Astyanax mexicanus: one gene and its partners. The protein of the gene in region 3 binds, or shares a complex with, the protein of the main gene of each other region. Links are inferred from orthologs where the notes say so. Each region holds a gene or a part of one and is shown on either strand. Other genes may lie near its edges. The genes, in order: b9d1, cc2d2a, ahi1 and cep290.

The links.
Region 1: ahi1 (region 3) and b9d1 share a complex: the UniProt entries of both Homo sapiens proteins name them as parts of the tectonic-like complex. The link is inferred for Astyanax mexicanus from reciprocal best matches to the Homo sapiens genes AHI1 and B9D1.
Region 2: ahi1 (region 3) and cc2d2a share a complex: the UniProt entries of both Homo sapiens proteins name them as parts of the tectonic-like complex. The link is inferred for Astyanax mexicanus from reciprocal best matches to the Homo sapiens genes AHI1 and CC2D2A.
Region 4: ahi1 (region 3) and cep290 share a complex: the UniProt entries of both Homo sapiens proteins name them as parts of the tectonic-like complex. The link is inferred for Astyanax mexicanus from reciprocal best matches to the Homo sapiens genes AHI1 and CEP290.

The regions. Positions count from the first base shown.
Region 1 is NC_064410.1:53,741,998-53,749,347, forward strand, and holds the start of b9d1 (B9 domain-containing protein 1), read right to left. Parts: upstream 3,004-7,350; 5' UTR 2,852-3,003; coding exon 2,789-2,851; intron 2,661-2,788; coding exon 2,592-2,660; intron 2,045-2,591; coding exon 1,933-2,044; intron 813-1,932; coding exon 716-812; intron 609-715; coding exon 546-608; intron 1-545. UniProt on the Homo sapiens protein: Component of the tectonic-like complex, a complex localized at the transition zone of primary cilia and acting as a barrier that prevents diffusion of transmembrane proteins between the cilia and plasma membranes.
Region 2 is NC_064420.1:12,025,246-12,033,070, forward strand, and holds the start of cc2d2a (coiled-coil and C2 domain-containing protein 2A), read right to left. Parts: upstream 3,012-7,825; 5' UTR 2,865-3,011; intron 2,052-2,864; 5' UTR 1,923-2,051; coding exon 1,909-1,922; intron 1-1,908. Other genes in the region: complement C1q tumor necrosis factor-related protein 7, read right to left, coding at 6,528-7,156. UniProt on the Homo sapiens protein: Component of the tectonic-like complex, a complex localized at the transition zone of primary cilia and acting as a barrier that prevents diffusion of transmembrane proteins between the cilia and plasma membranes.
Region 3 is NC_064421.1:18,203,607-18,210,791, forward strand, and holds the start of ahi1 (jouberin), read right to left. Parts: upstream 3,017-7,185; 5' UTR 2,908-3,016; intron 2,199-2,907; 5' UTR 2,150-2,198; coding exon 2,140-2,149; intron 2,036-2,139; coding exon 1,911-2,035; intron 1,177-1,910; coding exon 608-1,176; intron 411-607; coding exon 301-410; intron 151-300; coding exon 1-150. Other genes in the region: lft2 (lefty2), read right to left, coding at 6,098-6,422, 6,927-7,178. UniProt on the Homo sapiens protein: Involved in vesicle trafficking and required for ciliogenesis, formation of primary non-motile cilium, and recruitment of RAB8A to the basal body of primary cilium.
Region 4 is NC_064417.1:17,363,110-17,370,659, forward strand, and holds the start of cep290 (centrosomal protein of 290 kDa), read right to left. Parts: upstream 3,014-7,550; 5' UTR 2,976-3,013; coding exon 2,880-2,975; intron 1-2,879. Other genes in the region: protein O-mannosyl-transferase TMTC3, read left to right, coding at 4,965-5,153, 6,362-6,580. UniProt on the Homo sapiens protein: Involved in early and late steps in cilia formation. Its association with CCP110 is required for inhibition of primary cilia formation by CCP110.

The DNA of each region.
Region 1 (7,350 bases), on a different chromosome or scaffold from region 3:
GCGCTTCCATTTATTTACTGTAAGCTTACATTTCCAATATTTTCAACAGCGCAGTCAGAAGCAGAGCTAGCCATGGTTAGCAGCTGTGCTAGCAACAGTTAGCAGCGTTAAGCGCTAATAAATGCCACCCAATAGCACTACACTGAGAAACCCTGAGTGATCCAGTAAGCCAGGGTGCTATTAGCTAACAGTTTGTCCCACGTAGCTTGTTTTAACACGGTAAACATTCTCATATACACACTTTTGAACGGCAAAAGGGCTAGTGCTGCAGTTAGCTGCTAATGCTAATACTGCTTCAGACTCTGTGCTGAAGAAACTTCACTGAAAATCTGTTAAAACGCTGCACTTCAGTGGAGTGGCTTTACTGTTCCTTACAAACTGAATTTATACATAAGATGCACCGAATTTTGGGGAAAATTAAAGAATTTAAAGTGCACCTTGTATTGCAAAAAACATGATAGTTTAATTCATGGTAGTTTAGATGGTGTTTAATTTATGTCTAGAGTTCATGTAAATCGTAATCAGACTGTTGGTTGCTTTACTACCTTGTGAATTTCTGCAGTCTAGACGTGGATTCAGGAACAAACATTGGAATGGTCCGTGTGTGTCTGCAGGAAGAGTTTATTAATATGTGAATTAAACAGAACAGACATAAAGCAAACAGATGAAACTCCTCTATTCATGCATTACGTTCCAATATGAACATCCCACTTACTTTCCTGGGGTAAAGGGAATGTGTACTGCTCCATAACCTCTGACAACATCATTGCCAAACGTGTCCGGTCCATAGACACTAACCACAATCTGAGGCCCTATAAAATCAACACAGTTACAATGGAGCTCAGTCGCATGTATTACAAGAGCATGCAAGAGACATTGTGCAACTAAAATAACAAAAATTCTTGTTTTTCAATATACAGAATAAATGGAAATTGAAAATTTGTCAAAACGGAAGGTCACCATAGGACCACCACAGAGCAGGTATCATTTGGGTGGTGGGTCATGGTGGTGGTGTATGAGGTTGTTGTATGTTGTGCTGGTATGGGTGAATCAGATACAGCAGTGCTGCTGGAGTTTTTAAACACTGTGTTCACTCACTGTCCTTCTATTCAGTAATAAAACTCTTGCGCCAGGACTGCAATTGAAAAAACAGGAGGACGATTGGGTTTTTAGGCCTTCTCGGTCACGTGATATCACGTTCAGTAGCTCCTCCATTTCCACTCGCTGCTGTCCTTATGGGGATCTTCATTTTCTCCTTTTTGGGGGTCCTCTGTGATTTTATTCCCGACTGGAACGACCATGTGTTTTTCTCAGACGTCCTCTGAGAAAATTACAGGCTGAATTACCTGCTGTTTTTCACTAATTTTAGTTCCATTTGGACGCACATCTCCGAGTTTCGTCTCCTCGCGTTTAATAAAATAGCTATTTGTCCACTGCCAAGCACCCATGATTACACTTTGGCCACGTGTTTCCATGGAGAACCAAGTAAACACCACAGCAAGTGGACATGGAGGAGCTACTGAACGCAATATCATGTGACCTAGAAAGCCAAAAACTCACTGGTCTTCCTTTTTTCAATTGCAGCCCAGATGCAAGACCTCTGTGGTGGTCCTGTGGAAGGAATACAGTAATTGTATAACTATAAGGTGCTCTATATGATCAGTGGAGCTGATAAATATATATAAACATATACGTGGGTCCAATTACATAATGAGACGAACTGGGAAATGGAAGAACTATGTAAAAAATTATCCAAGTGGATCTACACTTCAATAACATCTTGACTGCTTTATTTCAAATCCAGGTTGTGCACAGAAGCAAAGGTATATTCCAACTATACTTGGAAACCTTTTTCATTTCTAAAGTTCAACATATAACAAATAAACACTTCAAATTGTATCCTTATATTTAGTAACACATAGAAATACATACATCCAAACGGGTTGGTGCTTTTGAAAGTGATGTCGAGAGGAAAGTTCCACACCAGACTCTGAGTGGAACCTCTGCCCTTCGATGTTATCTGAGATATTCCCTCCTCTAAGCCCTGCAATAAGGTAAAGGTATTTAATTATTTCATCAATAAATAAATTAATATAAAGACAAGCATATAGAAACAAAGATTCCAGCTCAAGACCAGCTTTTGCTGGTAGCTGATTTGGCATAGTCTGAGCTGGCCTTTGATGCTCAAACAGCTCTTGACCTGCACAGTGTATGCTGCATTGGTAGTGTACATTAACATTAGCTAAATATTCAACATGAATATAGCTAACATTCTGGATTTAAGAAAGGAGAGGGGAAATAATAAAACGGAGCCCTTGGTGACATCATGTAAAAAAGACGTGGCCACAACTTATTAAGGCGTGGGAATGAGATCCTAATCCGTGGCTACGAAGCTAAAATGTGGTACGTGTTAATTAAATAGCCACAACTTAAATTAACTTAATTATCTTACTCCCACGCAGTTGTGGCCAATCATTAGGATCTCATTCCCACGCCTTAACAAGTCGTTCATTTGTTTTCAACATGATGTCACCTTAGGGGCTGCGTGATAAAAAGAAAAGCACAGAGTGATAAATCTGGATTTTACTTACTGAAGTTGGAGCCCAGTCGTGTCCGTAAACAAAACAGTATTTACAGTATAAATCATCGTATTCTGGAAACTAGAAATAAATGAAGAGATTAAAACATAAACAGCAGCAGCTTTAGTTACTTTATTACCTTTATTTAACTGAGTTTAATCACTAGATAATCACTATTTATAGATCCGTTATTTTCAGTTCAGATTTACCTGCGCGCCCTCGATCTGCCCGCTGATCATCAGCAGGAACACGGAGGGGTTTGGGGAGGTCATGTTCAGATCATTAATAAAACAGTAAATATTAATATATCCCTAGTTTCATTAAATTAACTGATCCTCTCTCCTCCGCTGTTTACATAACTACAGAAATGGCTGCTGGTTGCTAACGCCGCTCCAGCCGCTAAGTAGCGACGGCTTTACTACTGGGGCCTGTGAGGTCCAATCTAGATGAAACGCGATTTGATTTATGCATCTGTCCTGCCACTAGATGGAGATATTTGACAACAAAATTACAGTAACATAATTTATGCTGATCCTATTTTAACCCTTTGATGCGCAACATGTATTAATATATAGTAAAATATAATATAATAATATTATATAATAATATTACACTATATAATATAATAATTTTCTATATTTTAACAATAAATTAGTTTAGTAATTCAGTGTTGAATGTATTTCTCAATTAACTTGTTTTTGATCTTCATACATCCTTGTTTTATTTTTACCTTTCTTATTTAAAAAAAAAACCTCACTTGGAGATGCTCAAAAAGACACTTGGAGATGCCCAAAACAACATTTAGAGATGCCCAAAAAGACACTTGGAGATGCCCAAAGTGACATTTAGAGATGCCCAAAGAGACACTTGGAGATCCCCAAAGAGACACTTGGATATGCCCAAAAAGACACTTGGAGATGCCCAAAGGGACACTTGGAGATGCCCAAAAGAAAACTTGGAGATGCCCAAAAGGACACTTGGAGATGCTCAAATGGACACTTGGAGATGCCCAAAGGGACACTTGGAGATGCCCAAAGGAAACTTGGAGATGCCCAAAGGGACACTTGGAGATGCCCAAAAAGACGCTTGGAGATGCCCAAAAAGACACTTGGAGATGCCCAAAAAGACACTTGGAGATGCCCAAAGGGACACTTGGAGATGCCCAAAAAGACGCTTGGAGATGCCCAAAAGACACTTGGAGATGCCCAAAAAGACACTTGGAGATGCCCAAAAAGACACTTGGAGATGCCCAAAGGGACACTTGGAGATGCCCAAAAAGACGCTTGGAGATGCCCAAAAGACACTTGGAGATGCCCAAAGGGACACTTGGAGATGCCCAAAAGAAAACTTGGAGATGCCCAAAAGGACACTTGGAGATGCCCAAAGGGACACTTGGAGATGCCCAAAAGAAAACTTGGAGATGCCCAAAGGAAACTTGGAGATGCCCAAAGGGACACTTGGAGATGCCCAAAAAGACGCTTGGAGATGCCCAAAAGACACTTGGAGATGCCCAAAAAGACGCTTGGAGATGCCCAAAAGACACTTGGAGATGCCCAAAGGGACACTTGGAGATGCCCAAAAGAAAACTTGGAGATGCCCAAAAGGACACTTGGAGATGCTCAAATGGACACTTGGAGATGCCCAAAGGGACACTTGGAGATGCCCAAAGGAAACTTGGAGATGCCCAAAGGGACACTTGGAGATGCCCAAAAAGACGCTTGGAGATGCCCAAAAGACACTTGGAGATGCCCAAAAGACGCTTGGAGATGCCCAAAAGACACTTGGAGATGCCCAAAGGGACACTTGGAGATGCCCAAAAAGACGCTTGGAGATGCCCAAAAGACGCTTGGAGATGCCCAAAAGACACTTGGAGATGCCCAAAGGGACACTTGGAGATGCCCAAAACAACACTTGGATATGCACAAAGGAAACTTGGAAATGGCCAAAAGGACAGATGCGTAAAAAGACACTCGGACACTTGGAGATGCCAAAATGTCTGTTGGAGATACTCAAAAAGACATTCAGAGATGCCAAAAGGACACTTGGAGATGCCCAAAAAGACACTTGGAGATGCCCAAAAAAACACTTGGAGATGCCCAAAAAAAACACTTGGAGATCCCCAAACAGACACTTGGAGATGCCCAAAGGGACACTTGGAGATGTCCAAAAGGACATTTGTAGATATCTAAAAAGACTTTTGGAAATGCCCAAATTACTCTTGGAGATGCCCAAAGGGACACTTGGAGATGCCCAAAGGGACACTTGGAGATGCCCAAAAGGACACTTGGAGATGCCCAAAAGTACATTTGGAGATGCCCAAAAAGACACTGAGAGATGTCCAACATGACACTTGGAAATGTCCAAAGGGACACATGGAGACGCCCAAAGGGACACTCGAAGATGCCCAAAGGGACACTTGGAGATCCCCAAAAGGACACTTGGAAATGCCCAAAACAACACTTGGAGATGCCAAAAGTGACACTTGGAGCTGTTCAACACTTGAAGGAAAGAAGGAGGAAGATGGGGAGGAGTTGAGTGTGAAGTTGTTCGACATCCAGGTAGAGAGGAAGTGAGGGTTTATAGAGGGTGGAGAGTGGGAGGAGTAAGGGTGTGGGTCAATCTCCTAAAATTAATTTATATTCATAACTCCACTTATGAAATCTTACAACAATTTGAATGCCTTGTTGTTGGTGATCTGGCAAAAAGAAGATATGAGGATGTCAATAAGCTCGGTGATTCCACAATAATAGTGGAGAGTGGCTTATCTCATACCTAGAGATAAACAACATCAAAAACATATTTCTTTGCCTGTTCACTCTCTGTATCGATCACCCACTGCACAGGCTTCTTTAAAAGCTGCTTTTCTCTGTCTGCCAGACAAACAGAGCATGTGCTGCTTCAAAACCTGAGTAAAAGAGAAACAGAGACAGAGGCAGGTTCAGAGAGACAGTGTTTATGTTACCGTGCTGCAAAAATCAATAATTTTTGAGTCTTGGGTTTATGTGTTACCTAAACACTGTACCAGCACCCAACTACAGTCTATACTCTTATTTGGGTGGAATATTTGGGAGGAAACCCTTAAGGTAATTTAAGCCTTTTAGAAAGGCTTTCTCTAAAAACCTTTTCTTGAAGGTTCCTCAAAGCACCTTAAGGGGGTTCCTCCACACTTCCAAATGGAAGAACCCCAAAAAGTATCTCAAAGATCTTATAATTTTAACAGTGTACAGTAAGCGAACCAGGCTTGATCGTCACTGTGTGGCTCAAGCGCGTCCCAGTTTGAGCTCTCCTCGTCTTTCGCCAACCGTCCCTCTCTGGGACCAGCTTCTTTGACTCTCAGCCACTATTTATAGCAACAGACTTGTCTGCACTACTTAAAAGTCCTCTGCGGAACCTCCATCTACCTTTTTTTAGATACAGGATAAAGGCAGCGAGAGTCATTTCTGTGGGGTGGGATTTTTTTCTCACCTCTTTCCTCATCAGAGTGGCTTTGAAGTGCAGTTCATTACTCCTTCCCCCTCCTCTCAAACCTGTGGGGGAGATTCATGTAAGACGTGGTCAGAAGTTGTAGAGTGCCCAGAAATGACCTGATGATAATGGGGTCTGCAGACCTACTTCCATACCCCAAATCTCAACACCATTAGAGAGCCAGATCCATTTAATTTGACATTTCTAACCAGCTGACATTTTCCAGTGTCACCAAAACATCCACCAACTGTCCACACACTGCATCAAATGTCAAGGAAATGCCATGTGCCCAGAGGCTGTTTTGAGGAGGGTATGGCTGGGACGTCCTATGTTTCACCAGATCCCCAGCTCTGTTACACCAGACCACAGACGCCTGTACTAATTAGCATTAATGTGGAAATGATGAGGGCATTTCTAAGAGAGAAACATCTATTCACCCATAGATATACTCCCTTACTCATCCCAAAAGTATTGAATGGAGCACCATCATTCCACAGAACAAATACCTATACCTGTCATTAGGCACAATGCCTATAGTAGGTGTATATTTATCTGCACCAGAGCTCAGCTGAATGCATTGATTAAAAGGGTGGTGTCAGCAAATAAAAGTGTCGATTGGTCGATATTCTTTAACTGATGCATTCTAGCTGAGTACTAAGACTTTCCCTGGTGATTTGTTCTGTATCGCTGTCCTGCTGAGTTGCTCTGTTTATTTACATCTTAGAGTAAGTGCAGACAGAAATGATCCTGATGATGATCTTTAAGGATATAGATGAAAGCATTAGTCATGTGTTTGTTTTTCTGATGTTTATGGACAAATCAGTTTCCATACTCTGTATGAAGTGGCTGTAGACTGGCTAACGTCCTGAAGACTCAATTCACAACCCTGAAGCGCTCTAAGTAGCTGTTTGACCTTCAGATGCCAGACGTTTTTGTGGTCAAATCTCATTTGGGCCTTTATCCCAATGCACTGGATGTACAATTGCCATCGATTTACGGCCCCTCTCCCGTCTCCAATCATGTTTAAAAGTGCAGTTTATTATAAAAGCTTATCTTTAATATTGCTTCTCCATTAGCTAGAGTGCAGCTACGTGACAGTGTAATGGCCTATGTCAGACACAGATGAGTGGGTCAGAGTGGATCTGCATGCGTCAAATTACAGATAAAGGATGTAGGTGTTCCACTCCAACCACTCCTTAATTATGTATGCATGGGGAAGTGGCTCTGCATTTGATGCTTTTAGGAACCTTTCCTTTAATAAATAATGAGAGAAATCATTTTCCCCCCAAAACATAGGTGGGTCTTT
Region 2 (7,825 bases), on a different chromosome or scaffold from region 3:
TTTTTAAGGTTTTGTACACTTCTGCCAAGATATAGGGCACAAGCGCTATTTTTTATCCTTTTACTTTGTTTCAGTAAAAAGCAATCAAATCACAACTCAATATGTATTTCTCACTTAAATAAGGTTTGGGCAAAAACATGATGCTTTCATGTTTTTAGTTAGCCTGGGTGCTACTATTATTATTATTATCATTCAATGTGCTTACATTGTAAATCTAATATTTAAGACATTAAACCTATACAGGAACACATGCTGAACTATTCAGTAGACGAAAAGTGTGTTTTATACTTATAATTCTTCTAAAAAGCCACATTTATCTTTGAGGACAGATCTGCACACTCTTAGTATTTTAATCTCAGTGTCTTCATAAGGTAGAGTCACCTGGAATAGTTTTCTCAGCACCTTGAAGGATTTTCTGGAGGTGCTGAATAGGGTTGCAGCGGTAACCAGTTTCACGGTATACCATGGTATTAAAATGCACGGTTATCATACCGTGTGTGTTTGCTTATTACCGGTAAAACGCAAGCCAGCGGAGAAACTCACCCGCGCATGCGCAACTCTGCTCCGCTTCAGCTGCTCAGCACACAGCGGTGAGAACAGCAGAAAGTGCATCAGACTAAACAAATCTCCGTCCGGCCAAAAAAAGGCTAAACTAAAATCAGCAGTGTGGGACTATTTCAGAGACCCGCCGAACGCACCCGAGGATGGTTATCCGATTTATAATCAATGTGGCCGTAAAGTCACAGCTAAAGGTGGACATACGTCAAACCTGTTCTCCCATCTCCAAGAACACCACCCCGCCGTGCAGCGCAAAGTATGTGTTTAGTTTATCATTTTAATCTGAACATAAATAAAATCTCTTTGTAGTCGTGCACAACCCATGCGGTAAGCGCCCGCAAAAGCGCTGAGTTATCCGAAATTTGGGCACGCAGGTACAGGCGTGAAGTGTGTGCTACGACGGATTCACGTGTCCGTGTAAAGGTGCTCGCCGGACTGGATGTGAAAGACGCCATTCATTTACATGCGTTAATTTTCAAATTCTGACGTGCCTGTTTTTCATGTGTTAAAACCAGACTCGGTGTGAAAGCCTTAAAATAGAAATCTCTATTGTGAGGATTATGTCAGAAATAAATACCCTCTTTCTGCAGTATCTGGTTATACACCAACTTGTATAATTTAAACTTAAATAATTGTACTGAATAGTTTAAACACAGGATCTTTACTTCTTAGAGGACATGTAATGTGTGACACGTGTGTGTGTGTGTGTGTGTGTGTGTGTATGTGTATATATATATATATATATTATATATATATATTTTTTTTTATATACACCCTTAATGACCTTAAGAGTAGTGGAAAAACCTGGTTTCCTTCACCTAATGGTGTACAGTTTATTTTTTTTAAGGAGACATTATCTATATAGTTGTTCCAGGTTTCTACAATAAATAGTTAATTGAACAAAAAACCTTTGTTGTAATTTCTTTAAGGGTCAGTTTAATAATATATGTAACAAACTGTGATACCGTGATAACCGTGATACCGCGGTATTTTCTGAGACGGTTATCATACCGTGAAAATCTCATACCGTTGCAACCCTAGTGCTGAACAATAGTTACTGCTTTTCCTTTACGCCTCGAAGCTCCAGCTCATCCCAAATCACCAAGCCCATTTTCAGGGTTTAGATCAGGGGATTGTGGAGGACACACTTTTTTGTTTACTATGTAATTCGACTGTGTCCCTTAATTGTTTTCATGTCTGTAATATTAATCTACAATGTAGAAAATAATTTAAATAAAGAAAAAAAATGACTGAAAATAGGTGTCCAATACTTAGACTGGTACTATATTTGGTATCATCATTTCTTCTCTACTACTACTGTTTCAATAAGTTAGCTCCAGTGCTGCTCACCTGGGAGTGGACATGATGGAGGAGGAGGTTCTAGTTTATTCTCTTCTGAATGATATTCAGCCTGTGGATTGTGTTTACTACATTTCAGAGGGCAGGTGAGAGAAGAGTCGAAGCTTTTCTTTGGAGAGAACGACAGGGTTCACCTGAAACCATACAGAGAACAGCATATTTAACCCTTTAACAGGCCAGCATTTTAATCAATGATATTGCACGCATAAATCTTGAGGATTTCTATTCAAGCATTACTAAAGAAAATCCTAACTGTAACTGTACTGGAAATGATTAAAAATATTGTTGAGAAATATATATATATATTTTTGTCAAAATTAGGCATAATGCCTAAAAAATGGTGCTTTCCAAAACTTTTTAAAATCCATGTTGTTGACAATACAAATGATTTTTTTTTTTTGTTCTCTAAACCTTGTGTTTTCAGAATGTAAATAACTTATTTTACTGTAGAGAAAAGGGGTTTGTATCACCTACAGTTGTAGCCCATGTAAGTTACAGTCCAAGGCCTGTTAAGGGGTTAAACCGTTAACGTTACAGCAAACCTGAAGAGTTCTGATAAAAAAAAAAAGATATCTTGTTAACAAACCTGTGAACTGCGTTTAGCAACAGGTTTGACGTTAAAAGTCGCTCATACGAGGAGACATACTGAGTTATATTTCAGTCAGCTCTGTCTAAATACAAAAAATAAAATATGGTTAACGGATAAAAGAGCAAGACTGGAGACAGAAACGGTACCGTTAGGTTATACACAGAGGATACTAAGCTAATCCCGCTGCTAGCTAGGTAAACCTCGGTTAACTAGTGAAAATTACAGCTTTAGCGCGTGTGTTTGTTATCCAGGCGGTTGTTATCGACACTCCGCTGTGATATTTAAAAACTGAGCAGGTCTTATAGCTTTATAAATGCTTTAACACGGTATCTATTCCTGTTTATTTCTCCACACTTACTGAAACACTGAGAGTTAGCCGCCATCCTGTTCCCCCGCTGCCTGGTAACGGTAAATACTTCCCCTCAACCGAACCGCTCACACAGCGCGACACACTACCCTGCATGCTGAAAGAGGCGGGGTCTCATCTCGCGGCCCGTCTTCTCATTGGCCAAGGACACTGTCACTCAACAAACTGCGATGAGGTAAGTTCAAAAGAAAGCTGTGTTTTATCTTGTTCTAAAAAAATGTTTAAAAAAAAGGTAATAAAAACAGAAAAGTGCGTTTTCTGAAAAATACTGAATGAATAAGTAGAAGTGTTTCCCACTTCCATTCAGATTCACTAGTTTGCTTCTAGTGGATACTTGGGCAAAAATGCCCTTGCTAGATAGTTGCTATGGGGATGCTAAGCTGTTGCTAAGATGGTACTATATGGTTGCTAAGCTGGTTACTATGGGGTTGACTCCAAACTGTCAGTAGGTTGTTACTGGTGGTTGCCATTAGTGATGGCATAGTTACTCAGAAAAAGTAATCTGGGCTCTGAGTGGTCCAGCGGGCTAAGTGCTGCCACTATGAATGGGAGATTGCAGGTACGAATCCTGTTCATGTAACTTGCTATCAGCTACTTGGCCTTGATCTCTCTGGGTGAGTACATGGCACTCTCTCCCCACATCACACCAAAGGGTGACGTGGTTCAGCATAAGGCGTCTGTGAGCTGATGTATCTGAACCGAGTCACTGCACTTTCCTCTGAGCTTGTGTCTTTACCCTCCTGGTGTTGGGGCATCACTAGTGATAGCAGGAGTCCTAATGAGAGGGTAAAATGGGATAAAAATATAAAAAAATATATTTATCTGATTACTGATCACCCCTTGAAAAACGTTACATGCAAAAGTTATGTTATGGATTACTTGATTTTCTTTCTTTTTTTAAAATTACTTTCAAGTTACTTTATTAGTGACTTTCAGCCTCTGCCGACATACCCCCCCCACACACACACGCCCACACACACACACAAAAATCTTTGATCAGAGGCAAATCAGCAATCACTTGTAGCTCTCACACTTGTGTAGTATACAGTATTGAAGGACGCTCACCCAGGGTTGAAAGAGTGATCGCAGATGTGTCGCAGACACTAGGCAAATAAAATTAATTAATAAATGTTGTCAACACAGAACAATATCAAATGTTACAGTACCACAGACAATTTTTAATGGTTTTAAACTCCAGTTATAAGTCTTTTCAACATGCCCTGCCTTTATCTCCAGCATCAACTCACCAACCAGTCAGCTCACAGTAACAATATTGCTACATTTACTGGGTAAAATGGAATGACGTAGAATAAGAGAACAACGGATCGAAAGTGTTTCTTCTGTATTTTCTCTTTCCCCTGTTATATCAGGAAAACACTGTTAAATAGTAGAGGGAACTTGTGAGTGAGTCCTGAAGAATGGGGGCGAATTTTAGCTAAAAGCTAAAAACTTAAATTAAAAATAGTATTTCTTTAATTTTAGAAAGCAGAATAATGTATTTTACTAGTAAAGCAATGAACGCATACATTTCCATACAGAAAACAAGTTTTAGGCGCTAGCAATACTGCTACTCTGTGCTGACTGGTTGGTGAGCTGATGCTGGAGTTACAGCCAGTCTAAAATTATCAGACATTTATAAACTTTAACTCTGATTTTGCTCAGTTTCTCCATATTGTTGCTGTCCAATGAAAAACAAGAATCTTCTAAAGAAGAAAAAAACTTCTAAAGTTTTAATAGAAGTCAATGTAAAATGTATTTATTTCAGGTCATTTTAAAGTAGTCAATAAATGTTGGCACAGTGTAAGGGACAGTTTGTGTGTTCAAATTATGTAGTGAACTAAACATTGGACAGCAACAATATGAACCTATTCATTTTGTACTCCATTCAAGAGGTATTTCTAGTTCTGTACATGTTTAGTTTTGCCGTGTTCTCATGACAAAACGTGTCGTTGAAAAGAAGCCAGATAAGTCTGCTTACATGGTTTTCACATGACGCAACAAACCGTGGTTTTACTACAGAGGAACTGATAAAGCACACCCTGTGTTGCCTGTAAGTCATGTAGTGTGAAAGGTACAACAACTGATATGCTGCTATGGTATGCCTGTTGGTTGCTATGAGGATTATAGATAATAATTCTATGGTTAATGTGGTGTTGCTAAGTGGTTGCTATACGGGTGCAATGAGTCTTGTGAAACATTTTTGTTCCAGGATCAGAGCATGTTCTTACTGTTATGATTTACACATACACATACCTGTAGTGTTTTTATTGGCTTGAAAATATGCATTCCAGCTGATGATGATGATCATGTAAAGATGGAAATTCCCCTCTGCATGTTTTATCTGAATACACACCGGAGGAGGAACCAAGGAATATTTACTGTAGGAGGAACCAAGAAATGCACTTTCCATTATAGAGAAGTATATTATATCTACACACTTAAAATGGTTATTTATTAACTCCTCCGTAATGTGTGTATCTCTGTAGTTGGTTTATCCTCATGACAGACTGTGTTACTGACATTTACACTTTTTCTTTGCAGAAAAGAAAAACAAATGATGAGACTTCAAATGATGTGACACCTAGACTTTAGGACTCTTATGAATAAGCTAATGATGCAAGCTAATACATCACAGTTCACACAGCCAAGACTCAGCCCTGCATCCTAAGCCTCCGGAACAGTACTATCTGAAAACTGTCAAAACTGCATTCAAGGGACTAAACATTGTTCGGTTTCAGATCCAATGAACAGAGCAGTAAAAACAATGTAATTTTTTTATAGACTGTACAAAGTTTTTATAGACTGTATTATATATGTATAATGTATAAATATATATATATATATTTACAAAAGTATCTTATGTACCAATGTGTTGATACAACTGTTACAATAAATACAAAATATATGTTCCACCATCAGATTCAATTACAGTAATGTAGACATTATATAATATTTTCATAATTAAATTGTACATTAGTTACCTTATCTTAAGAAATATATATAAAAGCACCACATACTAGACCATGACACTGTACTGAACAAGAAAATGCATTGCATATACACAGTGTTTCTGGGCTAAATAACTGTAAGACTAGAAACTCCAACTTGGTACATGTTGTGTTACATGGGTCCAGGTCTGCTAACACCACATTAAGCTTATCCTTAGTCTAAAATTATTACTGTAAACACTTGTAAATCCTTTTGGGACATGGAAAAATAATGGTACAGACACTTGTCTGTCACAATTTACTATAAATTACATACACTGTGGCAAGATATAGTTGGGAAAAGCCTAATTCTGTGCATGGAAGTGTTTTTCAGCCCTGGTCCTAAAGGTACATTGCCCGGAACAGTTTAGTGTTTTTCCACTGTTTTACTGAATAAGTCTTAGGCTTTTTGTAGTGGTTGGGCTCGCTCTAGTAAGTGAGCCCTCTGAATCAGATAGTAAACAGACCCAAGTGACGGTGTTACTCGAGGCCCCCCTCTGGTGGCTGGAGGGGGCCCTGACCAGGGGCCAATCCTTACACTTTTAATGAGCTAATTAGTTGTATCAGGTGTGCTGGAAGCAGAGTAAACACTATAAAGTGAAGGGCAGTGATCTTCCAAGCCCAGGGTTGAGAAACATCTCTCTAATGAATGCTTCATTATTTACGTCTAAGTGTAATCCTCTGACAATGTATCTAGGTAATTAGTATCTGCATAGAGCAAAAACCCTGAAAAGAGACTGTCCGCCCATCCAGGATCAGTAAACAGACCGTTCTGATCCTTATAAAAGATCTCTAGCCACACTTCATCCTCTGGGTTGAGGTACATCACTGTGGATCCAGAAGCCACGTCATGGTTCCCGGTGTTGGCATCAAAAGTCTTTATACGGAACTCTCCATTCCGCACTAGGCCGATGGCCAGGTGCTTATCAGCTAGTGTGATGTCATAGGAGAAGTAGTAGACTCCTGGGTATGCGCAGATGAATTTGCCAGTCTGCGGGTTGTAGTGCCCACCTTCATCGAAAAGGACCTTGTTGAATTTGATTGGTGACTGCTCAGCTGGGTAGCTGCTGGTGATGCCCACAGAAAAGGCTGATTTGGGCACCAGGCTGCCACAGAGGCACGTGCCTGGGGTGCCCCGTGGTCCCCGTTGACCCTTCTTTCCTCGCTCTCCTGGTGACCCTGGTGGTCCCGGGGGTCCTGAGTCTCCAGCATCACCCTCCGGACCTCGCTTCCCTATGGGTCCTCTCTCTCCACGCTCGCCGAGTTTACCCGTTGGCCCCACTCTTCCTTTAATGCCTGAGAGAACACAAGCAGGACAAGCAGGGGTTAAAATAACAACAAACCAGAATTCATGATCCTGAACATAAGAGCTTATCTTTGAAACACAGTGGAGGTGTCCAGTGTCATGGCTTGGGCTTGCATGGCTTTTTCTGGAACATACCCATTAAACTTTATTTATGTACAAAGGAACTCTAGAAGTCTATAGAAGCATTTTGTCTGTTCGTTTAAAGAAAGTTGCTTCATCGTGCAGCAAGATAATGAACCATAACACTCTAAATTACAAAGAACTACATCAGAAGTAAGAATTGGAAGGTTTTAGACTGGCATAGTCAATCTTCTGACTTAAAACCTATCAGGAATGCATTTTACCTGCTAATGAGGAGTCTAAAGAGAGAAACGCCCCAAAACAAACACCACCTGAATCAGGCTGCTGTGAAAGCCTGGAAAAGCATCACTAAAGAAGACTGCAAAAGTTGAATGGGTCATAGACTTGATTCAGTTATTGCAAGCAAAAGACTTGAACTAAATATTTAAGTGGCAGTCCATATTATGTGTTATATATGTGTATATTGTGTTTAATGGTACCAGTGTGCTGGAACAACCATCCCTGCTAAGACTAATATATATTTTTTATAAAAACTGGGGTACTGGGGAGTTCTTCTGGCCACGTCACATGTCTTTACG
Region 3 (7,185 bases):
CCACAACATGCACTTTGACCATGGGGTGGGACACCAGAAGGTCAGTCTTGAGTCGGTCTGTACGATGAATGTAAACTCCTAGCACCAGGTTTTCATCAAAGACCTGCCTCTGAGAATCCTCCACCTCTGTCTGACTGTCCTCAACTACCACTTTAGCCAAAAAAGCAGAAACATGGCCTAAATATTAAACTATAACCATATGCATGGTAAACCTAACTGCGTTAGATACTCTTAAAATTGTAAATACTTCATAAATCTTACAGTTTCACTAGAATGACTGGCAGGTGTTACATGACTTACCATCTTTTCTTTTCTTCTTCTTTTTTCCTTTGGGTTTTGCTGTATCTACGGTGTCTTCTTCTACAGCATCACCTTGAATAGGCTCCTTTATTTTCTCAAATTCAGAATGGCTGTGGTGAAATTTCAATGGAAAAAAAATATATAAAAGCTTTGATAACTGGGTAATGTAAAAACAAAGAATAAGGATCACTTGCATTATATGCAATATTTGCAATATGCTTTAAAACCTAAGGAACAAGATCTTTCTCTCTCACACACACACACACACACACAAACGACTAAAAAACAAATGCTTTCTGTAAATTACCTTTCATCCTCATCACTACCCCTCAGGTTCTTCTTCTTTTTCTTCTTCTTTCCGAGCTCATTGTTTAATACTGAGGTTTCCTGGCTCCTGGGCAACTTTTCATCTTGTCTGTTATGAGTTGTTTTCTTTATAGCCCTCTCCTCATCTTGACTAATCTGTTGCTGATATTCTTTGAGAAGATCATCTTCAGGTTCAGAGCCTGCGTTGTGTCCACTATCTCTGTTTCCGCCTCTGCTCTTCCCTCTTTTACCCTTTCTGTTCTGCCCCCAGTCTGGTTCAACAGTGACTTTTGTTTCAGAGTTTGCAGCATTTCTGTCTGTGTCTACTTCATCCTGAACAAGTGGGTGTGGGGGCAGCTTTCTTTTAGTCTTCTTCTTTCCTGAGGCCAGTGGGGACTTCTCTCCATTTACATTATTGCTGACATTGATCTTCTCTGACACCTCGACCTCCCTGCGTCTGTTCTTAGTGTACCTTGGGCTACCCTGTGTAGGGTCATACGTGTTATTGAGAATGGTCTCATCTTCTTCTGTGGTTTTACTTAAATCCAAGTTTTTGCTCAATGTCTGAAGCTAAAAGGGATTACAAGAACAAATCAAGTTTTAAAATATGACAGAGTAAGATATTGTTGTTTCATGTTTCATGTTTTTTTTCTGCCATTTTTTTAGTCAGCTTTATGAGGTAGTCACCTGGAATGACTTTCAGGTAACAGCTGTGCTGAACTTGTCAAGAGATAATTGCTTGAATTTCTTGCCCTCTTAAAAAGTTTGAGAGCATCAGTTGTGTTGTGAAGATGTAGACTTGGTATATATTAAATAGCCCTATTTGAGTAATGTTTTAATTCATATTATGGCAAGACCTCTCAACTAAGGAAGGAAAAAAAAATACTTTAGAAATACTTTAAAAAATTAAATCCGAAACTTTGAAAGCATCCTCAAATGCACTTGCAAAGACCAATCAAAACATTATGATAAAACTGGCACTCATTAGGACCAATAAGTTCAGTTACCAGCCTCAGAACTGCAGGTTAACAGCACCCCAGATAAGAGCCACCTCAATGCTTCACAGAGTATTTTGGTTTGTTAAACACTTGGAAGTTTACTACATGATTCCTTATGTGTTCATTCATAGTCTGGATGACTTCAGTATTCATTAACATTGTAGGGGAAAAAATAACAAAAAACAGACAAACTTTTAGCTGGTACTTTATTTATCAAGACTGAGAGAAAATAATTGTATTATTATTATTATTTTATTATTATTTCATATTTGATAGCCCTAAACATTCCATAACCACGTAACCTACCACAACATTCTCCTGCAGCTCGACTCCTCGCTGTTTGGACTTCTTTTTCTCTGAGGGAGGGTTTGTGTATCTCTTTAACACCTCGTCAAAACGGGCTCTAGTCTTTGCTCTCACATCACTCTGACCTGTTCATCACAAACAGTATTAGTTGCCCGTCCACATGCAAGGTAATCAGTATATGTTTGGATTGGTATGGTTTGGATGGTAACATTAATTAAAGTGTGATTACCTGCCGGCATCCTCAAGCACTGGGAGCAAAGTCATTCTGTGCACAAAAGATCCCTGAAACTGAAAACATAGGTTAACGTTATTTATCTTAGCTAGTTAAACTGTCAAACAAAGCAGGAGAAGTAACTTAGTTAACCTATCTAGTTTAGCTAGCCGATTATTGGTTCAAATGTAGTTAGCTAGCTAGATTGTTGCTAGCTAACGAGACAGCCAGTGTTTTGAATCCAGAAGAAGCTTTAATTAGCCTTTAGTGAATTCTATTGGCTTAAGCTGGTTAAAATAGCTCGGTACAGGAGTCATGATGTAAGGCAGCTTGCTAGCCTAGCTTAGGTAACCGAGCTAGCTGATCAGCTAACCGCGAAATCAATCTTGTCTGGTGCTGACTTTGCTGAGTTAACGCTAGCTAGCTCTACTGCAGTACCAAACACTAAATAAGCTACACTCATAGAGAAAAAGGGGCCACAGGCCATTTTCAGTTTCTAAACTCCACTCAACAACAGAACTTGCTGTGCCTGGTTTAACATTCCCGGCTATAACGGCGCCCGAGAGGACATTAGCCGCCCCCTGAGAATGAATCTCCGCTCTCTCACTGAAAACACTGTCCCATAGATTAGCAGGACTGCTAGCTGGCTAACGTGTTACTACAGTAGGATACAGCCTAGCCAGTTAATTCCTTAACTAACAGCGACCCCAGTGTAACAGCCCGCCTTTTTTTAGATGGGTCGCGTAGTTAATAAAAGTGTCTGTTGTACAAAACAGGATTATTTACCTGAAAATCAAACCATATCCTATGAAAACGTTTACAGTCCGTTAGCCGCTGACTCGTTGCGATGGCAGCCAACAATAAACAAGTTTTAGCCCCGCCCCTTGTGTGTTGTTACCTCAAAGACAGCCAATAAAAAGCGGAATCAGACTGCGCATTCTGGTGGAACAAACAGACATGCGCAACGTGTCTGACTCTCACCAGCCAGCGTTAGAGCATCTAAAAGTGTATCTAAAAATAATTGAATATCATTGAAAAAAGTAACTTTATTTCAGTAATTCAGTTTAAAATGTGAAACTCATGTATTATACAGATGTATTACACAGAGAGTGACATATTTTATGCGTTTATTTATTTTATTGTTGATGATTATGGCGTACAGCCAATAAAAACCCAGAAATCAGTGCCTCTGAATTTTTTTAAATTATATAAGACTAATTGATACTTTTTGCCCTGTGGTCAGTGTGTCAGGTCCTGCTGGAAAATGATATCCGCATCTCCATAACAGCTGTCAGAGGGAGAGTGAAGCAGAGGGAAAAAACACATAACACAGTGGACCAACAACAGCAGATGACACCTCTCCAAACCTTCACTCAGTGTGGATTCACACTAGACCTTAAGCAGCTTAGACTGTGCACGTCTCCACTCTTCCTCCAGACTCTGGTCCCTTGATTTCCAAATAAAATGCAGAATTTACTGTTGATCTGTGATGGTTTGGAGAGCCATGTCATTTGCTGGTGTTGGTCCACTGTGTTATATCAAGTCCAAAGTCAGTGCAGCTTCTACAAGGAGATCCGTGATGCAGATTTAATTTTACACTTTTAAATTTACACTGTTTTTGAGGGTTTTATTGGCTGTAAGCCATAATCATCAACAATATAAGAAATAAATGCTTAAAATATATCACTCTGTGTGTAAGACATCTAAATAATATACGAGTTTCACATTTTAAACTGGATTACTGAAATAAATTAACTTTTTAATGATTATCTATTTTTTGGGTTGCACTAATATATTGTGAACTTTCATATTGACACCTTCCTAAAATAACTGCCCAACTCAAGTCTTAAGTTTTTTGAGAAAACATATGAGAGTGGTTAAAATTAGCAATGTGAGGATAGTTAATCATACAGTGGAGCAGTAGAACAAACCAGAAAAAAAAATCTGCATAAAATATAAAAATAAATTGGGGATGAGCCCTAAATCGTAAATCTATTTATTGATTGATTCTGATTGATCTCCTTTTACATACAAACAATTCTGGATGGTTTGTTGTATGTCTGACATATATTGTATAATTGTCTTGGTAAGTAACTTTTTTTTCTGCAAATAGAGAACATTTAACAGATGTTTTACTGAAGTGTTGTAATATTAACAAGAAAACTGTTATTATAAAAAAACCTTGTATTGTTATTTTAGGGCCGTATTACCTACGCCTAATGTTTAATATTTCTCTGTGTTATGGGCATTTAACTTTAGTAAGTAAAAGTAAACTGGCTAGGATAATCAGGGTGGCAAGATAAATAATAGACTGACAATAAGATACTTTATTTTTCACACAAAGTGTGGTCTATAGGACTTTGAATTATTAATAATTTCTTGGGGGTTGCACACTAGATTAAAATGCTTTTAACTTTTGTGAATCCAAAGACAAATTCTTTGTGCAAATTCAAAGGGTCAATAATGGACTAAGTGGTCTGTTAATGACCTGATAAACTTAGGTGTATGTTGTGTGCCTGAAACATGCAATGCAGGGATAGTTCAGGAGCAAATTGCTCTTATTGACCTATTTGAAAACAGATTATTTAATGTTGGATAACTTTGAGTTCACCCTTTGTTGTGTCTAGCAATCTAGATCTATTGTTCAGCAGTTGATAGAGCACATTGAGGATTAGAGGATACTGTTCTCTGCCCTATTTTTGTGAAACCATTTGTCAGATTGCTTGGATTTGGTTACAGACCCAACAAAGTGAAAGAACGAATGAATAAAAAAGAATTAAAATAATTTAACAAAGCATGATTATTATTATGTCCTACAGTGTACAGTGGACTAAGCATTTATGAGCCATCAGGTCAATTTTGCAATATGGGGCATACACAATAGGGTTTCAATAATAAAATCATATTTATTTCACATTTAACCTATTGTTTTTGAGTTGTGTGTTTAACACATGTTAAATGTGTTAATGTTCACTGTGTTGAATCTGTAACTTCTAAATTGGGTTCTCTTTTTAACAAACCTTTATTAACCTTTCATAATTAATTAATCATGAAAGGTTTATTGGCTTTACGTTACAATGACACTAAATTATTACATTTTTTTTTTCTAATTACTAATTTTATGAAGCTATACTATTATAAATGGTCAATGATTACACTACACTGTTAATAATATGTACAATCACTGCTGCTGTCTAGCAACTGTTTTGTGCTAATTAAGCAAAATCTGTATTGGTATTTATTGTATTATAAGTTTGGACACACATTTGTATTAATTGTAAATTAAATTGTAAATACATTGTAAATGAATAGTAACGTCATCCAGACTATAAGGAAACACATAATAGATAAAATAGATAAAATTAAAAGTGTTAAACCAAAATACATGAAGCATTTAGGTAGCATGTATCTGGGGTGCTGTTAACTTTGGTATACTGTTAATCACTGTATACCAATTATTCCTCTTCACAACACAACTGATGCTCTCAAGCACATTCAGAGGGCAAGACATTCAAAGTATTCAAACCTTTGTTTATTAAATAATTATATATGTTTTTTTCTTCATAGTTAATAGTTAATACATTTAAAAATAATGAAAAACTGCTGAATTTAAGGTGTGAACTTTTGACTGGTACTGTATATATTTTTATCTTGCCTTGTTTCGTATGATCCTCACTACCTTTAATTTTCTATTTCCTTGTTAACAGTATGCACTTTTGTTTTTTATTATATGTCCAATACAACAAAATTTTATTGCATTTCCAATCTGCGACCTCTTTAAGCTATTAAAACCAGTGTAATGGTATAAATGAAGAATGTACAAGAATTTGAAAATAAATTGCTTTATTTTTAAAAAAATATAAGTGAATCACACATATAACATTTTATAGAGAAAAACAAATTAACAGCATTTCAAGATTATAATATACATAAAGTCTTTTAAGTGCTTGGGTGAACTGTCGAGTGTTGCCGTATCTTAAGCCGTAAAGAGTTTGTCCATGGAGCATCCACACTTTTCAACAATCATGTTTGGGAATTCAGCCACCTCGATTGCTGTGTGCTCTCCTTTCTTCACCAGGTACATGACTGGCAGTGGTGCTGTCTGTGCAACCCTGCAGGTTCTCTGCCCGTAGCCGTAACTGCGCTTGGGCTGCTTGCACCCTCCTTGGCATTGAAAGGCTTGGTATCCAGCAGGCTCAATGATCCAGTATTGCGTCCAGGTTAGCTCCCTGAAGTCTATGTAGTGCTCCTCCCGACAGCACATCACATTGTCTGCGCCCTGTCTGCAGTCTCCTGGAGACCTGTGGAGATGGAATTATTAATACTTTGCTCTATTTGGACCTTTCCAGCTGTTTGCTATTTATACTTAAAGCAGGTACTAAAAACGGATTCAGGTAATATGGGACAGAATGTAATATGATTAATGTTAACTTTGCATTAATTTTAATTATTTAGAATGAATACTAACAATACTAGCATATTAGCATTAGCTGAAAGTGGAATAAACAAGAGTTTCTTTAAGTTTCCGCTATGGCTCAGAATAGCTGAATCCACACTTGAAATAGATATTTGATAGCATGGTTATTCACAGCTTTATTACTGCAGTTAGCAATGTAACACATGTTAATGATGTCAATTCACAACTATCAAAACGCACTTTACAGCTGTAGAAATGTTGATTTAACTTAAGCTGCTAAAATACTTCAATTAACAAAAACAACAGAAACACACACCTCAACATTACCTCAAAAGAACTCACTAACAGCAAAACAGAAAGGACTGTAAGACAATTTAAGTGAACTTACCCATATTCTTCCAAATTTAGCGTGTATAAAACAAGCTCAGGTGTCCCAGCACTTTTGGTGAGGGTGTTTTCCGGATTGTGTTGTGTGGTGAAGCGCACTCTTTTTGCCATTTCAGCTGCATGTTTGCCAGGCCTCTCTCCCTCAATCCAAACTTCCAAATGCATTGGAGATTTCTTTTGGGACTTTGACCAGTAATGTACAGCTTGTGTCACGTCAAAGTTCCTCCAGCCAGCCTCATGTAGCGGCACCAACCTGTCAA
Region 4 (7,550 bases), on a different chromosome or scaffold from region 3:
ACATTTATTAGTTTATAGTTCATAAACTGTGAACTGCATTCATATTCTTAACATGTTTAATGCTACTAAAATGATGCAACTAAATCAGCTTCCTACAGTTGTAAGTTATCTTAATGTTCCCAAATCTTACTTGATGTGAATAAATATCTGTGTTTAACAAAAAAATATATATTCCTGTTGCAGGATGATGATGATGAAACAATCTCTGCTATATCATTTGATTAAACATGGTAATGTGTGTGACTGTCCGATAACAGAATGTGACTGGTGATCAGGAATCTGATGAGGAACCATCCATCTCCAAAGCTCAGCTTGGAACAGTGAGAATGCTTATGTCTCAACAAATATCAAAACCATTCTGGACACAAAGCTATTTATTTGAGCATAACATGGTATTTTCGTCTCTTTCTTTCAAGATGGCTGTTAAAGATTTATACTAGGTTCACCTAAAACAAAACAGACAAGACTGGAAATTGAGTTGCTAGAATATACATTAAAGGTGGGAGTAGTTGCTGTGATTGTATATTTGTTTTTATCAAGAATAAGGACAAAATCAGAAAATAAATAAATCGAAAACATAGGCAAACCCTGATGAAATGTACTGTATAGTGCAGACTCTCGAAATATCCTTGCATCATGTACAGAGCCTGGCCATTTGGCTTCAAAATTAGTAATAATGTTGGTAGCATCACATACACAGGAAATTTGGCAGTGTTAAATCAACACTGTTAGTGTTAAATCCACACTAAGAAGTGTTGATTTAACACTAATAAGTGTTTATTTAACACTAACAGTGTTGATTTAACACTAACAGTGTTGATTTAACACTAACAGTGTTGATTTAACACTGCCAAATTTCCTGTGTATGGTCTTAATGGAGGAGAAAATAAGTTTTTATAATGTATTAAATATAAGTCCTTTTTGTTTTTTAAAAAGTAGTAAATTTATGATCAGTACTTGTATATTAATGCTGTGGAAGGATTTTCTGTTTACATAATCTCCTTCATTTTCGGCAGGGGCTTTAATTTGAATGTGGGTTCCATCCATGCATCCAATGACTCCTAAATTACAAAATTTAAATATATAATAAATATAAATATAAAATTTTGCAGAGCTATTTATCTTTCACTTCCGATTTGTTTGATAATTTTGTAATCTTTGTTATAAAGACAAACCTGCAATTCTGTGGAATTCCTCTTTAATGTTCATTAAAGGCTTATGCCCAGGGAACACCACAAAACTGGACAACAACTGTTTTAAAGCTAGGCATACTTTGCTGCACTGCAGGCTGCACTTTGCTGCCTGCACTGTACAAAAAAAGCCCATTGGCAAAGAAACTGAGAGCACTGCATAAAGTCTGCAAAGATGTGAGGGCTGATCCACGATGCGTGATATTTTAAATGTGAGGCTTTAAAATATTGTTTAGGTATGAAATTGACTGCGAGGAAAAACGGTAACGTTTGAGGAGAAACTGAAAACACGTCTAATCTGGGTGAAATTACTCGTTCACAACAGAGAGCTCTGTGAATAATTTGCGCTTCAATATCAACTGGATCCGTTTGTATAAGAAAAGTGGGCGTAACCCTGCGTTCGGAGTAAGTTAACCTGCCAGCGAGCAGGTTAGCTTCAGAACGCAAGTTGCTACAGTAACTGACTCAGGTTCTCTCTTAGCTCTCTTTCTGGAACAGAAAACCCTGAGTTTCCGTGAACTCTAAGTTTACTAACTTATCCGGTTTTGTCACTTAACCCCCTTTCTGGAATACCCCTCTGGTTCCATCTTTTACAGCATGTTTTTTTCAGACCCAGAAGGAGCAAAGCAGCCCAAGATCATCCCACTACCACCACCATGTTTTACATATAACGTTAGTATGATTTTTCTGTATGGTCTTGTTCTGCAATTATGCGTTAGTTTTATGCCAGATGTAATGGGACAAACACTCACAATTTCCACTTTTGTCACATCATTTCGAAATAATATTTACCCAAAGTCCTAGGGATCATCAAGATGTTTTTGACAAATGTGAGACAGGCCACATTGTTTTTTTTTTTATGCCCATAGACTGTGTCTAGCTGGACAGAGCATCTTCTCTTAAAAGTGACCACAGGTCAGGCGCCCCCTGCTGTTCGGTTGCAGAAAGCTGTGTTTGTGTGGCAAACAGACAACTTTCAATCACATTTTTTAATATACTGTAATTCTACCTCATTTATTTAAATGCAGCAGCTAGTGTAACCTCTGCTTATATTCTATTTTTTATATCCCCACAGAATTCGTTTTAAAAAACGTTATTCAGCTCTATTCAAAAAGGTGTGGTTATTGTAAAGGGGCTGGGTTACACCTAGCCGGGGTGGAACCAATGACTGTATGCATGGAACCAGCCTGTGACCTACTGTGTATAGCTAGGTAGGTTGGTCACTCCTGGGAAGGTTCACCAGTGTTCCATGTTTTCTTCATTAGTAAATAATAGCTCTCACTGTGGTTCACTGGAGTCCCAAATCCTTAGAAATGACTTTATAACCTTTTCTTAAATGATAGATGTCAATGACTCTTGATATATTTTTTTCCAGATCTGAGCATAATGTGCGTTTTTTTAAGATATTTGGGTGGGGGCAAACAGCTAGATTGGTTTTGAAATCATAATTTAAAATATGTTTTTTATATTTACTCAGATTATCTTTGTATGATGTTAATGTTTGTTCAATAATCTTAAAAAAATAAAGTATGATAGAAATGCAAAAACAAAAAAAAAATCTGTAAAGAAAGCAAATACTTTTCATGCCACTGTATATCTAAACAAAATTTTAACATTGAGGATAGATGACATACCGTCTACAATCACTGAAACTTTACTGTTTACGGTATGCTAAGAGTTTAACGTTACCTGCAGAATAATATCACAGATGGTTTCCTCCTCTTCGCTTCCCAGAAGATCAGGATCAACAGTCATCACTGTTTTCCAGTCTGTAGTTGGAGGCATCTTGCGGTTTGTTTGGTGTCCAAAATCTGTCCACAGCCTCCAAACAGCCTTTATACTACAACACCAGTCACTTTAAACATGTAAAACTGGGGCTACTGTGGAGGATCCGGAAACAGTGTTAAATACTACCTGCTGAACCGTTGCCTGCAGGTAAACTGGTTTAATTTACGGTACTTTAGCTGGCATTTCAGTTAATGAAACGGCTGGCTATCTGGACAACAATGCGCCCGAGAAGAGAGTTTAAAGAAGATCAACGACAAAAAAACAAAAACAAAAAAAAAAAACAAGCTGACTTTTAGTAGCTTATCTCGGTTTTAGCTTTCTATTTAACTTGCTAACCAGGCTAATGTAACCTAACCTAACGTTACTGGATGAGAAAACAGAGTTGAATATATAACTTAGTTATAACTTAGATAAGTTATCAGTTAAGTTTACCATCTAAGACAGTCCAATAATATGGCCAGCTGTAGCCTCTGACGTCTGAAATTCTCCAAAAAGCTAAATATTTTACCCATTTTAGCCTTGCATTTTATGGCTGTACTAGCTAGTTAGTTGGCGTTAGCACTGTTAGCATTAGCAGGCTGGCTAGTCCCGTTTTCTGTGCTGTTGCTAGGCTACCGCTCAGTGGCGCTCCGCGGGCGGGTCGGGGACTACTAATCTACAGATCACGCGGATCGGTGGATGGCGCTGCTGTTCTTCAACTGCAGAAGACAATGATTTAAGATCAGCAAACGTTCTGGAGTGTAAAGGTTTTCATAATAAAAGTCCTCTAAATATTATTAATTAAAATAACAATTCATTCTATAAAAAAACGTCATGATATTTGAAATTACGGGCACGTGTTTTTAAATAATATATTCTTTGTAAATAAATAAAGAAATAAGGTCAGAATATGAATTCATGTTCCTCATCTGAACTCTTAAGCATTGCGACCCGGAACTTGTAAAAAGCCCATTAGCATTAAAAAAAATCTCGACTGCTGTTCCCGAATAAAGGCTGCTCTTGGCTTAAAACGCAAAAACACACAAACACACACGCTCTGTTTACGGTTTATCTCATCAAAGCCATGACAAGGTGGGTCTGTAACTTGTATAATGTGTTTTATAGATCTCATATGCTGCTGTTAGGAGCAAGGATTAGCTAGCTTCCTTTTTCAGCACCGTTAGCAGCAGTAGCTGTATCGTAGCTAATACAGTAACAGAAGATAATACAGTAACAGAAGCTGATTCAGTAACAGAGGCTACAGTAAGCTTTGCTGCACAGCTTTTCTACAGAAGGGTTGAGTTGTAGAGGTGGGTAACCCAGGTCCAGAAAGTAAAAATACAACCCAGGGTTTGCCCTGGGCGGCTCTGCTACAAAACTCTGGGTTGGATTTTACTTTCTGGACCTGGGTTACCCACCTCTAGTGAGTTGTGATCTGGAGCTGTTTTGATTAAGCAGGTGGTGCGTTAGTGGGTAATGTAGTTAAGGTAGATAGCTGCTAAAAAGAATGGCAGCATTAGGGAAGCTATTAGTGCAGCGACCAGCTGTGCCCTTATTGATACAAGGTATCCAAGACCCAAGGCAGCAAAGCAGCCCCAAGCCTTGATCCTCCCTTCACCATTATTGAAATGAGTTTTAGGTGTTGGAGCTAAACCATTTCAGTTTTTCTTAACATCTTTTCCCAGCCTCTATGTGGATCCATGTCTTTAACATTGCCTTTGAATTTTTATTTGTAACATGTATTTTGAGATATTCTGGAAGTTGTCTGTGTCGATAAATAGTTCACAATAAGAACTCTTTAAAAAGAACATGCTTTGTGTGCCTTTAGTCATGGGAATAAGCATTAGCAAACATTTTTTGATGTTATATTTGAAAATGAGATTTTTTTTGTGAACCATAGCTTTAATGGCATGACTGATATTAACAGTAATCTGAATCTGAACATTAATCTCTGATGTGGAATTGGATTTTTTTTTTTACAGTGCTCAATGAGGACTCACGTTAGTGATGGCTGTTGTGTTGTGGAAGGAGGCTTTCCTGTTGACTGGACTGGTGTTGGGGTGCTTCTGGAACAGTCTGCTTTGTGGTTTTGTGTTTGATGATGTTTCTGCTATTTTGGATAACAAGGACCTTCGTCCCTCGACGCCTATTCAGAACCTCTTCCTCAATGATTTTTGGGGGACGCCCATGTCAGAGGTAGGGTCCTACAGTGCACTGTGACACTGAGTTACATGATGCAGTTCAGCCATGCTGTTCAGGAATTTATTTAAAGGTCTCATTCTATTGTTTTTTTTCATTACTTTTAAATTGTCTAGTCTCTAGTATGAATAACAGCACTACAGCAGAGAATGATACCTGGCTTTGCCCCACAGTCAATTTTACAGCTTTAAAACTCAAAGAATAATTTTTTTTCAGAGATACAGCCTTAGTTGTAAAGATACAGCACTGAGTGCTGTATAAAGTTAACCCTTAAACTTTACTTAACGTCAGACAAGCGGCCCCGCAGCTCAAAGAAATGTCATCAATGCCAATTCTGAACATTATTTTTTTACTAGCTACTGCAGACAATGGAGGTTGAAGAATTGTTTCATATGCAGCATTCATATACAACTCAGAGAGACTTATAGTATTTTACGAAGAACAAGAAAAAGTGGATTTTAGCGGAAGGCGACTTTTAGTAATGACAAAAAAAATTAACAAATGGTACTGGACAGTACTGATCACATTTCACATCTGAATATTTTGCAGATAACAGTGTGACTGTGTCGGGTGTAAGCAGTATTGCAATAATTTACACACTAAATAACTATATTGGAATGGATGTTACAGTTGGGATTACTTGGATTTCTGCATAAATGGGTCATTAAATGTGTTTTAATCCTTATGTTAGTCACAACAATATAAAAACACAGTCTGCTTAAACTAATATCACAAAAATATATATATGGTTGCATGGTTTTATTGAACACAACAAGTATGTGAATTTTTGGATTTAATAACTGGTTGACCCGCCTTTGGCAGCAGAAACCTCAACCAAACGTTTCCTGTAGTTGCAGATTAGACCTGCTCAATGGTCAGCAGGAATTTTGGATCATTCCTCTTCACAAAACTGTTTCAGTTCAGCAATATTCTTGGGATATCTGCTGTGAAAAACGTTAGCATGTGCCAGAGATTTCTGTAAGTCTTCAGCTAAAACTCTAGGATTCTTTTTCACCTCATTGATCTTTCTGCGTGTACATTTACTTGCTGGCTGTACCTGTAGTCAAGGCACATTGCTATTGCGACCAGTCTTCCTCTGGAGCAAATCTGACAATGGCGCTAGTTAATATAGATGATTTATAGGAGCAGGGTTTTTCAATTCTTATGAGGATGGATGAATATGACTTTGCCGTCTTTCTGTGCAGGAGAGGAGCCATAAATCTTACAGACCACTCACTGTCCTCACTTTCCGCCTCAACTACCTGCTAAGTCAACTGACTCCTCTGTCCTACCACTTGCTCAATGTGCTTCTCCATGCGGCTGTGTGTGTGCTCTTCCTTCGCTTCTGCCGACTGCTGCTGGACCGCAAGACCAGCCTGGTGGCCGCACTCTTGTTTGCCGTCCACCCTGTCCACACAGAGGCTGTAAGTAAACAAAATAATATATGTGTGTACAGTATGTACAAAATCAAGCATCTTTATAAACATTTTTGAAGAGCTCTTAGATATTCCACGGTCGACTGAGTGGTATTATTAAGAAGTGAATGTATTTGAGATGTTATAAAGAGATGTTATGAAAGCACTAATAAAAGTAGTTTGTAGGTGCCCCAAGTGTTTTATACATATAGTTTTTAGTTCTTAAGGTAGGTAGGTGGATGGATGGATGGATGGATGGATGGTCCTGAAGCCCTGCTTGTTTATGATGTTCTCAGCTCACCCACGTTGAATGTTAATCTACATGGATTTCTCTTTTAAAAAAAATGTATGGGTGAACGAAGCGCTTCCATTGATTAACAGTAAGCTTAGAGATCTGGTATTTTGTCCAAAGTTGAGTGCCAGCCCCAGTTAGGAGCATAGCCAGCCCCAGTTAGGAGCATAGCCAGCCAGGGTTAGCAGTTTAATCAGCCCCGGTTAGCAGTGTAAGCCAGCTCTGGTTAGCAGCATAGCCAGCCCCTGTTAGCACTGTTAGCCAGCCACGTTTAGCAGTGTTAACCTCCCCGGTTAGCAGCATAGCCACCCCCTGGTTAGCAGCGTTAGCCAGCCCCAGTTAGCAGTTTAATCAGCCCCGTTTAGCAGCATAGCCAGCCCCACCGGTTAGCAGTGTTAACCTCTCCGGTAAGCAGTATAGAAACCCCCTGTTAGCAGCGTTAGCCAGCCCTGGTTAGCAGCGTTAGCCAGCCCCAGTTATCAGTTTAATCAGCCCTGTTTAGCAGCATAGCCAGCCTCAGTTAACAGCATAATCAGCCCCTGTTAGCAGCATAGCCAGCCCCAGTTAGCAGTGTTAACCTCCCAGGTTAGCAGTATTAACCTCCCCGGTTAGCAGCATAATCAGCCCCGGTTAGCATTGTTAGCCAGCCCCGGTTAGCAGTGTTAACCTCCCCGGTTAGCAGCATAG